Anolis sagrei: one gene and its partner. The protein of the gene in region 1 binds, or shares a complex with, the protein of each later gene. Links are inferred from orthologs where the notes say so. Each region holds a gene or a part of one and is shown in the gene's direction. Other genes may lie near its edges.

Region 1 (7,883 bases):
GACGTTTCGCCTGCATCTATGTCACTACCTCACTACCTCTAAGGATGCTTGCCATAGATGCAGGCGAAACGTCAGGAGAGAATGCCTCGAGAACATGGCCACATAGCCCCCAAAAACCTACAACAACCCACCCTAATTGTTTCCTGTCTAATCATCATAACAGTAAATAAAGACAGGGGTGGGAGAAAGAACTCTTCCCTGCTTGAATGTTGCAACTGGAACAAAACCAGAAACAATTAGTGACAACTAATCACTTCTCAACGAAGGATTCTCACAGGCAGCAAGCACCCAGGGTTTGAAGCTGCAAGGCAATTCAATGCTAATCAAGGTAGTACAATCCAGTGATTCCAGCCATGAAAGCCTTCGACAATACGTTGAACAATCAGGGTGTTAGCTGGCCCTGATTGTTTCCTGCCTTGTTCCAATTGCAACACTCACACTTGCCTCAAGGAGACAAAGAGATCTTTCTCCCACCCTGGACATTATTCCACAGATATATAAACCCAATTTTACTAGTTTCCAACATATTCTATTCTGCTTTGGTTAGATCACACCTGGAATATTGTGTCCAATTCTGGGCACAACAATTCAAGAGAGATATTGACAAGCTGGAATGTGTCCAGAGGAGGGCGACTAAAATGATAAAAGGTCTGGAGAACAAGCCCTATGAGGAGCGGCTTAAGGAGCTGGGCATGTTTAACCTGAAGAAGAGAAGGCTGAGAGGGGATATGATAGCCATGTATAAATATGTGAGAGGAAGCCACAGGGAGGAGGGAGCAAGCTTGTTTTCTGCTTCCTTGGAGACTAGGACGCAATGGAACAATGGCTTCAAACTACAAGAGAGGAGATTCCATCTGAACATGAGGAAGAACTTCCTGACTGTGAGAGCCGTTCAGCAGTGGAACTCTCTGCTCCGGAGTGTGGTGGAGGCTCCTTCTTTGGAAGCTTTTAAACAGAGGCTGGATGGCCATCTGTCAGGGATGATTTGAATGTAATATTCCTGCTTCTTGGCAGGGGGTTGGACTGGATGGCCCATGAGGTCTTTTCCAACTCTTTGATTCTATGATCCCACAACCTCTTAGGATGCCTGCCATAGATGTGGGCAAAATGTCAGAAGAGAATGCTTCCGGAACATGGCCAGGCAGCCCAAAAAACTTGCAGCAACCCACTCAATTTCATCTTTAGCAATTGCAAGATGCCAAAATTAGTTGTTTGCTAATCACCTCTACATATCTATCTGTATCTTTCTGTTTATAGATCTACCTAAGTGGATGTTTAGACCAGGCATGGGCAATCTTGGGCCCTCCAGGTGTTTTGGACTTCAACTCCCACAATTCCTAACAATTTGCTTTAGTGTAGATGCAATCAATTCTTAGTCTAGCTGGGACTTCAGGAGCAGAACCTTATACAGAAGGAAGGAGACCCTGCAAGAGGAGCACGCGGGAGAACAACAATCCGGGGCCGCGCATGCGCGCACTCGCCTCCCGCTCTCTCCCCCTCCCCTCGGACTGGCTTCCCTCTGCGCCTCGCGCGTTCCACCCAAGCCCCGCCCCCTCGTGCGCCTTGACGAGCAGGCGCCTCCGGCCAATCCTAACGCAGCGGCCTCTTCAGAACCTTTATTACCACCCCGCCCCTTTCTGAGACTCCGCCCCTTTTTCTTTGTATCAAACATCCGGGTCTTTCCCACTGAGAGGTATATGTGTGTTAATATATATATATAGACGCACATAAATATATAAACCTACAGAGATACATATAGGGTTTCTACCAAAGTTTACACCCTGAATTTTGTTTCTTTTATTTTTCTAATCTTCCCTAAAATATAGCTTATAATTCTGTATTTATTATTATTATTATTACAATTTCTCCTATGGGATATGTATACACCCTTCACAGGATGAAACAGTCCAGTAATAGAGAAGAGGGTTCCCCAAAATATATTATTATTATAAAAAAATATTAAATATTAAATACACTATTTAACAGCTCATAGTAATTCTGGTGAGATATGTAATGGGTGTGTGTAATATATATATATAGAGAGATAGATATTGAGGTCCTTTTCGTGTGTGTGTGTGTATCTATCTATATATTATATTATATATATACACATATATATTAGCATCCTTGTGTGTGCTGTGTGTGTATGCATTTATGTGCTTGTATGTGTATGTATATGTGTGTGTGTATATATATATATATATACACACACACATATACTATATATGTGTGTATGTGTGTGTGTGTGTGTGTATATATATATATATATATATTAGGCCTGGGTAACAACGGAAAAATTTGTTTCTAAAATCGATTTGTATTTGGGGGTTTTTTTTTGTTTCGATATTTAAAATAATTACAAAATTTTCCTTTTAAAAAGTTCGATATTTACGAAATTTCGTAAATGGTAAAAAATTAACGAATCGATTTCCGAAACAATAACGAATCAATTCATTAATGGCGGACGCGACCGCGAAATACGCTAAAAAACCTCCAAAACCTTCTGAAGCTTCCCTCTCCCTCTGTTGTTGACTGTTGGTGTGATATTATAATTTTTTTTCACTAATTAAACCATAAAACTGGCCCAGACATGCGGAAATAATAACGAAACGACCTCAAAACAATAACGAAACGAATACAATATCGAAATACGAAGCATTTACAAAACGTTTTTGAAAATTCGTTTTTTTTAATAATTGCTCCAGAATGGTTCGTTATCGTTTTGTAATTGAAAAAATTAACGAATTATTAACGAATTACGAATTAACGAAACGAAACCGCCCAGCCCTAATATATATATATATATATATACACATACACACACTCCTAATAGGTCCTTTTTGAGTGTGTGTGTGTGTATATATATATATATATAAAAAAAAAATCAAGGTCCAGTGTAGATTAATATGTGTATATAAATGTCTGTATACAAATATATAATATGTGTGTGGAGATTTATCTATATATATATTGGCCCTGTTTGTGTGTGTGTGTATGTATGTGTGCATATATAGGTCCTGTTTGTGTGTGTCGGTATATGTGTGTGTGTATGTGTGCATGTGTGCGTGCGCCTGTATACCTATTCAAGTGTACGTGTAGACACACACACATGCATATATATATATATATATTATATATATATATATACCTATTCAAGTGTACGTGTGTATACACACACACACGCATATATATATACATATTATATATTTGTATACAGACATTTATATACACATATTGATCCACACAGGACCTTTTATATATATATATATATATATATATATATATATATATATATATATATATAAAGGTCCTGTGTGGATCAATATGTGTATATAAATGTCTGTATACAAATATATAATATGTGTGTGTGGAGATCTATCTGTCTATCTATCTATCTATCTATCTATCTATTTATATATATATCAGCCCTATTTGTGGGTTGTTGTAGGTTTTTTCGGGCTATATGGCCATGGTCTAGAGGCATTCTCCCCTGACGTTTCGCCTGCATCTATGGCAAGCATCCTCAGAGATAGTAAAGTCTGTTGGAACTAGGAAAATGGGTTTATATATCTGTGGAATGACTAGGGTGGGACAAAGGACTCTTGTCTGCTGGAGCTAGGTGTGAATGTTTCAACTGACCACCTTGATTAGCATATAACAGCCTGACAGTGCCTGGTGCAAACTTTTGTTGAGAGGTGATTAGATGTCCTTGTTTGTTTCCTCTCTGTTGTTGTGCTGTTGTAATCTTAGAGTTTTTATATTTATATATTATATATATATATTTATCTATATAAATAGATACAGATAGTGTGTGTGTGTATATATATCTATACACACACATGCAGCAAACTTTTGTTGAGAGGTGATTAGATGTCCTTGCTTGTTTCCTCTCTGTTGTTGTGCTGTTGTAATTTTAGAGTTTTTATATTTATATATTTTATATATATTTATCTACATAAATAGATACAGATAGTGTGTGTGTGTATATATATATATATATATACACACACACAGAGCAAACTTTTGTTGAGAGGTGGTTAGATGTCCTTGTTTGTTTCCTCTCTGTTGTTGCGCTGTTGTAATTTTAGAGTTTTTATATTTATATATTATATATATATTTATCTATATGAATAGATGCAGATAGTGTGTGTGTGTGTGTGTGTATATATATACACACACACACAGCAAACTTTTGTTGAGAGGTGGTTAGATGTCCTTGTTTGTTTCTTCTCTGTTGTTGTGCTGTTGTAATTTTAGAGTTTTTATATTTATATATTTTATATATATTTATCTACATAAATAGATACAGATAGTGTGTGTGTGTGTGTATATATATATATATATATATACACACACACACACACAGCAAACTTTTGTTGAGAGGTGGTTAATGTCCTTGCTTGTTTCCTCTCTGTTGTTGTGCTGTTGTAATTTTAGAGTTTTTATATTTATATATTTTATATATATTTATCTATATAAATAGATACAGATAGTGTGTGTGTGTGTGTATGTATGTATATATGTATATGTATATATATATATACACACACACACACATATATACACAGAGAGGGAGAGAGAGAGATACTATGTAAACATTCCCTCCTTCCTTTCAAGGGGAGGGGAAAACAAGAGGAGGAGGAGGAGGAAGAAGGAGCAACCTCAGCCTGGGAGCGCGCGCGCGTGCACGCGAAGGGAAGGAGGGAGGGAGGGGGATCCCGGAGGAGGGGCGCGGGGCTGAGCCTGTGCGCGTGCGCGTCCCCCTTTCCCCCCCCGCGCGCGCTCCCGCGTCTCCCCCTCCTCCTTCTCCCAGCCGCGCGCCCCCCTTTCGCCCCCCGAGCGCCAAAGCCAAGCGAGCGATGCCTCTGAGCGGACCGGCAGCCTTCTTCTCCTTCTTCCTCCTCCTCCTCTTCTTCCTCGCCCTCCTCTCCAGAAGGAACAGGAGCCACAATAGCAGCAGCAGCAGCAGGAGCAAGAGCAGGAGCAGCAGAGGCACCGGCTTGGCGCTTCCCTCCTCGCCTTTGGCTCTGTTCAGAACCACCATTGGAGCGGACGGCAGCGGCGCCGGGTCTCCTCCTCAATCTCCTCCTTTTCGTCGCCTTGCTTCAGCCCTGGATCCCCCTTTCTGCAAAGTTTGCTTCTCCATTGCCTTCTCCTCCTTCTCTTCTTCTTCTTCCTTGCGGCCGGATTTACTGCGTTGATTCCCCATCCCCATCCTTGGAAGGATTCCTCTCTTTACCTCCAAAAGGAAGGAAGGAAAAAAGCAAAAGAGTCCAGGCTCTCACGCTCGGGTTGGACTATTCTTTCCCCCCCTTTTTGAGGATTTAAAAAGACTCTTCTCTCCCCTTCTTGGACCTGGACGCAGCCGGGAAAGGATTTAGTCTCAAAGATACTATTGTTATTGAAAGGGAACCTTTGGATATTTTTCCCCTGACACATATATTGATAACTCTGTATCTGTTTGGAAGAGGATCTTGCCGTTCTTGGAGAGTTTGCTTGCCTTCTCCTCCTCCTCCTCCTCCTCCCCTTGAAAGCGGAGTAAACAAGCACCACGAGGAGAAAAAGGAATATGAGGGTGCCGTGGCTCACTTTCGCCTTCCTTTGGGGGACTTTGTGTACAAGTAAGTCATGGGAAAGCAGGGGAAAAGAAAGAGAGAAAAGAAAGGGAAGGAGAGAAAAGAAAAGAAAGAGGGATGAGAAAGAAAGAAAGAAAGAGGGAGGGAGAGGTCTTCCTGGTGTTGTGGTGTATAATTCCCCTTTTGGGAAAGGCTACTTGGATAATAATAATAACAACAACAACAATAATAATAATAATATCTAAAGAAAAGGGCTTGTTGTTGTTATTGTGGGTTGTTCCTTCTTGGAAGGAGAGCCTTGTTTGGTTGGAAAGTTCCTTTTGGGGGATTTTGTATGCAAGTAAGTAATGGGAAAGAAGGGAAAGAGAGAAAGAAAGAGGGAGAGATCTTGTTGTTGTTGTGTGTTGTTCCTTCTTGTTTTCTGGAAGGAGAGCCTTGTTTGGTTGGAAAGTTCCTTTTGGGGGACGTTGTATACAAGTAAGTAATGGAAAAGAAGGGGAAAGGAAGGAAGGAAGAAAAGGAGAGAAAGAAGGGAGAGAAAGAAAGAGGGAGAGACCTTCCTGGTGTTGTGATGCACAATTCCCCCTTTAGGAAAGGTTACTTGAATAATAATAATAATAATAATAATAATAATAATAATATATCTGTATAACTAAAGGAAAGGGCTTGTTGTTATTGTGGGTTGTTCCTTGGGTTTTCTTGGAAGGAGAGCCTTGTTTGGTTGGAAAGTTCATTTTGGGGGACTTTGTATACAAGTAAGTAATGGAAAAGAGGGGAGAAGGAAGGAAAGAAGGGAAAGAGAGAAAGAAAGAGAGATCTTCCTGGTGTTGTGGTGTATAATTCCCCCTTTAGGAAAGGTTACTTGAATAATAATGATCTATCTATGTATCTAAATCTATAGGAAAAGGGGTTGTTGTTGTTGTTGTTGTTGTGGGTTGTTCCTTCTTGTTTTCTGGAAGGAGAGCCTTGTTTGGTTGGAAAGTTCCTTTTGGGGGACGTTGTATACAAGTAAGTAATGGAAAAGAAGGGGAAAGGAAGGAAGGAAGAAAAGGAGAGAAAGAAGGGAGAGAAAGAAAGAGGGAGAGACCTTCCTGGTGTTGTGATGCACAATTCCCCCTTTAGGAAAGGTTACTTGAATAATAATAATAATAATAATAATATATCTGTATAACTAAAGGAAAGGGCTTGTTGTTATTGTGGGTTGTTCCTTGGGTTTTCTTGGAAGGAGAGCCTTGTTTGGTTGGAAAGTTCATTTTGGGGGACTTTGTATACAAGTAAGTAATGGAAAAGAGGGGAGAAGGAAGGAAAGAAGGGAAAGAGAGAAAGAAAGAGAGATCTTCCTGGTGTTGTGGTGTATAATTCCCCCTTTAGGAAAGGTTACTTGAATAATAATGATCTATCTATGTATCTAAATCTATAGGAAAAGGGGTTGTTGTTGTTGTTGTTGTTGTGGGTTGTTCCTTCTTGTTTTCTGGAAGGAGAGCCTTGTTTGGTTGGAAAGTTCCTTTGAGGGGACTTGTATACAAAGTAAGTAATGGAAAAGAGGGGGAAAGGGAGGAAGGAAGAGGAAAGAAGGGAAAGAGAGAAAGAGGGAGAGATCTTCCTGGTGTTGTGGTATATAATTCCCCCTTTAGGAAAGGCTACTTGAATAATATCTATCTATCTATGTATCTAAATCTATAGGAAAAGAGATTGTTGTTGTTGTGGGTTGTTCCTTCTTGTTTGGTTGGAAAGTTCCTTTGGAGGACTCTGTGTATAAGTAAGTAATGGAAAAGCAGAAGAATAGAAAGAAAGAAAGAGGAAAGAAGGGAAAGAGAGAAAGAAAAGGAAAGAAGGAAGAGAAAGAAAGAGGTAGAGATCTTCCTGGTGTTGTGGTGCATAATTCCCCCCTTTTAAGAAAGGTTACTTGAATAATAATTATCTATCTATATCTAAAGGAAAGGGATTGTTGTTGTTCTTATTGTTATTGTGAGTTGTTCCTTCTTGGGTTTTTTTTGGGAAGGAGAGCCTTGTTTGGTTGGAAGGTTCCTTTGGGGGAATTTGTGTACAAGAAAGTAATGGAAAAGAGGGGGAAAGGAAGGAAAGAAAAGGAGAGAAAGAAGGAAGAGAGAGAAAGAGGGAGAGATCTTCCTGGTGTTGGTGTGCATAATTCTCCCTTTAGGAAAGGCTACATGCATAATAATCATCTATCTATATCTAAAGGAAAGGGATTGTTCTTATTGTGGATTGTTCCTTCTTGTTCTTTTGGAAGGAGAGCCTTGTTTGGTTGGAAAGTTTGTGTACAAGTAAGCCATGGAAAAAAGAGGG
Region 2 (7,376 bases), on another chromosome or scaffold:
ATATGGATGCAGTGGTACCTATGGTATGATATAGTTAAAATTAAAGCTAACTTTACTAATAATTATGTTAGACAAACTGCTCACTGGAGGGAAAGATACTAGAGACAAAGTTGAAGTACTTTGGCCACATCATGAGGAGACAGGAAAGCCTAGAGAAGACAATTATGCTGGGGAAAGTGGAAGGCAAAAGGAAGAGGGGCCGACCAAGGGCAAGATGGATGGATGGCATCCTTGAAGTGACTGGACTGACCTTGAGGGAGCTGGGGATGGTGACGGCCGACAGGGAGCTCTGGCGTGGACTGGTCCATGAAGTCACGAAGAGTCGGAGACGACTGAACGAATGAACAACAACATGTTAGACAAAGTGTTTTTAGCATTCAAAGTTTCAGAAGTGCTCAGGAGTGCATTTGCACAACTAAAACCAGAGGCGGCCCTAGATAATTTTCAACGGTAAGCAAACAGTATTTTGCCCCCCCCCCCCCAAAACCAATCACTGATATATATTTTCTGTTCGTGGTGGGAGTTATGTGTGCCATATTTGGTTCAATTCCATCATTGGTGGAGTTCAGAATGCTCTTTGATTGTAGGTGAACTATACATCCCAGTAACTACAACTTGCATATGTCAAGGCTTTTTTCCCCCCTCAAGAGCGCCTCATGAGCGCCCCTGGGCAAAATCAACTATACTGCAAATGCTTACTTTGCGTAATGGGTTGAGCCGCCCCTGGCTAAAACTAATGTGCCAGTGATGCCTACTCCTTAAGACATCAGAGCTGGCTACAGTGACACGTGCCTGGATTGTATTCTCTTTGGAGCAATATAATGTGCTCCACATGGGTTGTCTTTGAAAACTGTTCAGAAACTTCAGCAGGTCCAAAGTATTGCTGCCAGAATGATGGCTGTGGTCAGTTATACGGAGCATATAATTCCCTTGTTAAAACAGTTGCACTGGTCATCAGTTCATTTCTGGGCCCAATTCATAGTGTTGATCAAGACCTATAAAATCCTCTGTGGCTTAGATCAAGACTAGTGAAAAAAATATGTCTCCTCACACAAGTCTACTATGGTTCTGACGAAGGTTTGCGCTCAGTCTCCCAACATTGCACACTCGCTTGGTGAGGACAAAATAGTCTTCTCAGTGGCTGCTGCCATCTTCTGCAGGAAGCTAGGTTTGCCCTTTCATTGTTTTTCTTTTCCCAGCAGGCAAAGGCCTTTTCGTTTAAGCAGATTTGAAATATATAAGCCAGGAAGTTTTTTTTTAGTAAGAGCTTTTATTTGTCTTTTTAAACTTTGTATGTTTTTTTACATTATTTTATTGTTTTATGTAGTGATTTAAATAGTTTTAAAATTTATTCTGGGAGAAGACATACAAAGGCATACAAATGAAGCTGATACACACATACAAACAGGCATCCATAATAATGTTGTTTGTTATATAGAGCTAAAAAAGATCTCCAAAGTAAGGGTGGCTTGTATCATATGAAATCAGGAAGATTCATAGATACATAAACCTCACTTGCCTAGTTTCCAACAGACCTCACAAACTCTGAGGATGCCTACCATAGATAATAATAATAATAATAATAATAATAATAATAATAATACTTTATTTATACCCCGCCACCATCTCCCCAAGGGACTTGGAGTGGCTTACATGAGGCCAAGCCCAACAACACATCAGTAAAAATAACAAGCAATAAGCAAATAAACAATACAATTAATATAACTCACATATAGACAATAATACAAAAAGATTTAAAAACCTATGGCCGGGCCAGACGTAATAGTTAAAATTTTAAAAATAACTAGCTGTGCCCTGCCACGCGTTGCTGTGGCCTATAGTAAAACTTATCAAAGTTGAGGTAGATATCTGGACTATTATGAAAGAGAGGTCCCTACCTATTCCTTCCCCCTTTTCCTCCCCCTTTCTCTCCTTTCTTCCTTCTCTACCTCTTTCTTTCTTTCCTTCTTTCACTACTTGGTTTCATCCTTCTCTCTTTCCTTCATTCCTTCCCCCTTTCTTCCTTTGCCTTTCTTCCCTCCCTGTTTGCTTCCTTCTTTCACTTTTTATTTCCTTTTATTTCACCACCATCATAACAATAACAATAATGCAATGCATTGCCTCCGGGACCTGACACCTCTCCCATCATTCCCCCTAAAAGGGTCTCATAGGAACAATAGCATAATAATAATAATAGAAATAACAACCTTTACCCGCCACGTGTTGCTGTGGCCAATCTTCCCTCCTTCTCTCCTTCTTTCCCTCCCTCCCTCCCTCCCTCCCTCCCTCCCTCCTTCCTTCCTTCCTTCCTTCCTTCCCATCTTTCCTTCTCCTCTTCTTTCTCTATCTCTTTCCTTAGTTCCCCCTTTTTCTTTCTCTTCTGCTGTCTCTCTTTTCTTTCCTTCCATCTTTCCTTTTCTTTCCTTTTCTTCTTCCTCTAACTTTCCTTCCTTCCCCCTTTTTGTTTACCTCCCTTTCTCTTTCTTCCTTCTTTCCTTCCTTCCTGTCTTTCCTAGATTTTGACAGGGCGGGAAGGGGCGGGGTGGGGTTTGGAGGTGGCGTGAAGTAAAAGGCGGTAAGATTGGGGCAGGGGAGTGATGGAGCGTGGGGTTGCGTGTGTGTGTGCGGCAGCGGGGGAAGTGATGGAGCGTGGGGTTGTGTGTGTGTGCGGCGGTGGGGGGAGTGATGGAGCGTGGGGTTGCGTGTGTGTGTGTGTGGCGACGGGGGGAGTTGGGTTGCGTGTGTGTATGCGGCGGCGGGGGGAGTGATGGAGCGTGGGGTTGCGTGTGTGTGTGCGGCAGGGTGTGTGTGTGTGCGGGAAGCGGCACGGCGGGGCTTGGAGTGGGAATGGTTTCCGCAGAGGGAACGTTGGCCGGAAGGCCATGTGCGCGCGCCAGGGAACTTGTGGCTGGGCGCCAATGCGCATGCTCAGTTGTTTTGCCGTTTTGTGAGTGTGTTGTTGTGTTGTTTTTCATTTTGAGTAGATATGTTTGTACCTTGTGGGGTGTGTTATGGGCACGGGAATTTTGGTTAAGTTTCGTTGGGGGATTTTTGAGTTTTGTTGTTTTGCTGTTTTGTGAGTGTGTGTTTTTCATTTTGAGTAGATATGTTTGTACCTTGTGGGTTGTGTTATGGGCACGGGGATTTTGGTTAAGTTTCGTTGGGGGATTTTTGAGTTTTGTTGTTTTGCCGTTTTGTGAGTGTGTTGTTGTGTTGTTTTTCATTTTGAGTAGGTATGTTTGTACCTTGTGGGTTGGGTTATGGGCACGGGGATTTTGGTTAAGTTTTATTGGGGGATTTTTGAGTTTTGTTGTTTTGCCGTTTTGTGAGTGTGTTGTTGTGTTGTTTTTCATTTTGAGTAGATATGTTTGTACCTTGTGGGTTGTGTTATGGGCACGGGGATTTTGGTTAAGTTTCGTTGGGGTTTTTTTGAGTTTTGTTGTTTTGCCGTTTTGTGAGTGTGTTGTTGTGTTGTTTTTCATTTTGAGTAGATATGTTTGTACCTTGTGGGTTGTGTTATGGGCATGGGAATTTTGGTTAAGTTTCGTTGGGGGGTTTTTGAGTTTTGTTTCCTCGTTGGATGCCCCTAACAAATTTATATATATAGATGTGGGAAAATTTTCAGGAGAGAATGCTTCTGGAACATGGCCATAGAGCCATGTTCCAGAAGCAACCCAATCAGCAACCCGATCAGCAACCTGATTGGGTTGCAACTCATAGCAACCCGATCAGACTCCCCTCCCCCCCCACAAACAACAGCAAGTCACTTGACTGAGAAATGAAAATATTTAAACGTTTATTTAACAATAATGGGATTATTTCTTGCCACAATAAAGCTCCTACATATGTGACTTTTTGAATGGTATGTCAAGATATTTTAGAACAGGTATTATTTCTTTCTTTTTATCTTAATTCTGTATGCTGTGGGAAACAAGAGGAAACTTCGTCCTAATGCCTTCCCCCAGACATCTTAAAATGAATATTGTTTGCTGGCAAGAAAATGATAAAGGAACATAATTAGGCAATGGTGACCGCAAAGAGGAACATGGATTCTTTTCTGGGTGCTATGTGCTTCTACCGACCATATGTACTTGTCTTATGTTTACAGAATATTCATTAGTGAAGAGCGCGGATAGATAAGAGACTGTGGTCAAGATAAGGGCAAGTGTATGGCCAATCTGCTTGATGATTCACAAGGGGCTAGCACTGGAAAAAACACGGCTGCAATGCAGCTTGAGAAAGTGGTCAGCCATTGGCATTCTGTGTTTGCATTTCAGACTTCAGTCAGCCTGCTCCCCTGGATCCTTACTGTATTATACCCTCGTTTAAAACAGGATTCATGAAAAATGTATTATTTCGGGGCCTTCACTCTTCTAAACATCATGATACCTTTGACAAGTGGGAAACCCATGGAAGCCCGGGACAGATTACTTACAACCCCAAACTCCCATGAATATTCTGGTGACATTGGGAGCGTGGAGGGAGAAGCCCAATTTGACTTTAAATCGTTTCTGGAGACTTTGAAAGCTGATTTCCTGAGGAACTTGAACTTGTCAGAAGTACCTTCAGAAGAGAAGATGAAAGAGGAACCACCACAATTCATGATTGATTTGTATAATAGATATAGCAAGGACAAGTCTACCAGCCCCATATCCAATATTGTGCGCAGCTTCAGTCCTGAAGGTAGGAGTTTTGGCTTTCCCCCACCCTCAACCCAAACATCTAGGCTAAGATCTTCCCCAGGCATCTTAGTGCCTTGTGTTCCCAGGAAATCTTAATTGTTTTTTTTAAATGCTCTACTAACAATTTTGTGTCATCTGTTTTCTTATATTATTTGTGAAATAGCCATTTAAAAAATCTTAAGGAGTTGGATGCATGAAACTAAGGAAAATAATATTTTTGACCTTATTTCTCCTCCAGCTCATTTAGATAGAAAGAAATTAATAGAAAAGAAAAAAAATCTGTGTAAAAACCATTTTCTCAGACTGGAACAATCTCCACATATTAGGAAAATGTCTAGTCCATATTAAATGACATAAAAGGAATCAATGTAATTTTCAGATGTTACAAAGGGAAATGTGAGAAAAGTTCTGCCTCAGTGGCCATAGAATAGAATAGGAATGAAGGCCAACCTTTCTGAGCTTTATGGCAGATAACAATGATCCCACCTCCAAACCAAAGAGTTATACTTTCAGCAGTGACCAAATTGAGATGCATCAAAAAGTTCATAATTAGTACAACTTATCAAGAAAGTACTCTTAGCTATTGGTAATTCTCTTTTGCAAACCACAGGAGGCAACTAGAAATATTTTCATTGCTTCACCTATGTGAATAGGAATACTTAAAAAAAAAACTCCAAGGGAATTCCACTTGAACATTAGGAAAAACTTCCTGATTGTGAGAGCTGTTCAGCAGTGGAACTCTCTGCCCCAGAGTGTGGTGGAGGCTCCTCCTTTGGAGGCTTTTAAACAGAGGCTGGATGGCCATCTGTCAGGGGTGCTTTGAATATGATTTTCCTGCTTCTTGGCAGGGGGTTGCTCTGGATGGCCCACGAGGTCTCTTCCATGATTCTATGAATATACCTTAATAATATCAGTATTAATCACAATCTAGGAAGAAGTGGAATAAATCAAAATTAGATGGCAGAACAATCAAAATATTATGGATTTAGCAATATTATGGATTTAGCAAGTATGCCTGCTGACAGAGAAAGGCCAGGAAGTCTTGAGGAAGGCAAGCAGGGACAGAGCTATCTTGGTCTCTCTTGGGAGGGGGTTCCACAGTATAAAAGCAGCCACCGAAAAGGCCCTCTCCTGTGTTCCCACCAAACACACTTGAGCAGGTGATGGTACAGAGAGAAGGTTGTCGCGTGTTGATTGTAGATGCCTCAGAGGTTCATAGAAAGAGATACAGTCCTTCAGATAACCTAAGACATATAAGGCTTTATAGGTCAAAACCTGCAATTTGAATGTATTAGCAGCCATAAGACCTGTTGTAACAGTGGAGTTGTACACTGCCTGTAGACAGTCCCAGTTAGCAGTCTCCCTCAGATAGCAGCGTTTAAAGCCCTCCTGGTCAGGTTTGTGTATTTCTTCACAAAAATCTTCCTGCTAATCTCTCTGAGGCACAAGCCATTCCTTGACAGAAGCTCAATGCAAGTAAACCATAGACCATGGACTCAGAAGCCAAACAGTTCCATCATCTGAGGATAAGGTTATTCACGTCTATTATCCTTTCCCTTCCTGGGTTGTTTCCTTAAAGTGGGAGGAAGATGAACTGGGATTCAAGGCCCATCCAACTTACTTCCTATGGCCTCATAATCCCATGTGATCTCTCAAAGGCTATTTCTTGTAGTGTCATTGGTTCCCACATGAACCAAAAGGAAGGAGTAATGGTCTGTAGGCTTTACAAGCCTTATCATCCTTTTGGTTACATCTTGGATTTTTTATCTAGGAAGACAGCACACTCTTGGGTCATCCTGTCACATCTGCAAACCACTGTTTCTGGTCCGCTATCACCATCACACATCTTTTGGCAGGGGTCATTGCATGTGCTGACTCTTCCAGGGGCATCCTGAGGAAATTGGTTGCTTCCACTATATTGGGTATTGCTGCAAGTAATGACAGTGTGAATAAATTGTCGAAATTTGCTTGAGATAGTGCTTGCAGTTCTGGAGGAACTCATTTAATTGTTGACAATGAAAGGGGGTTGCATTTTACATAAGCACAATATATCCCATCAGTGAGACTTGGGTACTCCAGGCTTGCATACATTACCCGTTTAGCCCACTTCCTGTCCCAAGGACTGAGATTAATTAAGTCTTTTTATATAGATTTGCAGTTCCAGATATACTTTAAGGGTTGATTTCATTTGATATAAGTCATACAATTTCATAAAAGTTGATTTCATACACAAGAGGAGATATAGCTGCCTGGACTTTTCCAGAGTTGAGGTGGAGAGGCATTTTGGAATTGCAAAATTGGTAAAATAAAAAATAAAATAAATTCATGTTTAATTCATCTCTGTTCATTTGTGTTTAATAAATTTCTCAATAACATTGTGACTTCCTTGGTGAAGTCTACTCATCTGAGAGACTATCTCTTTTTGTACTGCCCTCCCCTTTATCAAGCATTATTGTCTCTTCTTGTGGATCATGTCTTCTCAAAATATTTTATTTTAACCTGCTTCCTCCCAGGTTTTAAGTAAGTGTAGAAGGGCCCTAAGTCTCACTTTGGGATTTTTATTGTGCTTCAGCAGAGGTGGGTGTCTACAATGCATCCTACATTTTGCAGAACTATATTGCCCTGGATCCTGGATACATAAGGATCAGTTTCAGCATATTTTTTTGACTGAACACAAATTTCACTGGGACTTTT

What was found. Proteins that work in one complex are often made in the same cells at the same time.
Region 2: the proteins of ACVR2B (region 1) and GDF2 are in contact, whole or in part, in a crystal structure (PDB 4FAO), measured with the Homo sapiens proteins. The link is inferred for Anolis sagrei from reciprocal best matches to the Homo sapiens genes ACVR2B and GDF2. Residues at the interface, in NP_001097.2 of Homo sapiens: Asn35, Glu39, Cys49, Glu50, Glu52, Lys55, Leu57, Tyr60, Ser62, Arg64, Val73, Lys74, Cys77, Trp78, Leu79, Asp81, Phe82, Asn83, Glu94, Gln98, Val99, Phe101; in NP_057288.1 of Homo sapiens: Arg333, Ile346, Ala347, Pro348, Lys349, Glu350, Tyr351, Glu352, Lys397, Ser399, Pro400, Ile401, Ser402, Val403, Leu404, Lys406, Gly410, Val411, Pro412, Thr413, Leu414, Tyr416, His417.

The regions. Positions count from the first base shown.
Region 1 is NC_090026.1:122,946,284-122,954,166, forward strand, and holds the start of ACVR2B (activin receptor type-2B), read left to right. Parts: upstream 1-4,799; 5' UTR 4,800-5,569; coding exon 5,570-5,621; intron 5,622-7,883. UniProt on the Homo sapiens protein: Transmembrane serine/threonine kinase activin type-2 receptor forming an activin receptor complex with activin type-1 serine/threonine kinase receptors (ACVR1, ACVR1B or ACVR1c).
Region 2 is NC_090023.1:142,237,026-142,244,401, reverse strand, and holds the start of GDF2 (growth/differentiation factor 2), read left to right. Parts: upstream 1-4,192; 5' UTR 4,193-4,346; coding exon 4,347-4,683; intron 4,684-7,376. UniProt on the Homo sapiens protein: Potent circulating inhibitor of angiogenesis. Signals through the type I activin receptor ACVRL1 but not other Alks. Signaling through SMAD1 in endothelial cells requires TGF-beta coreceptor endoglin/ENG.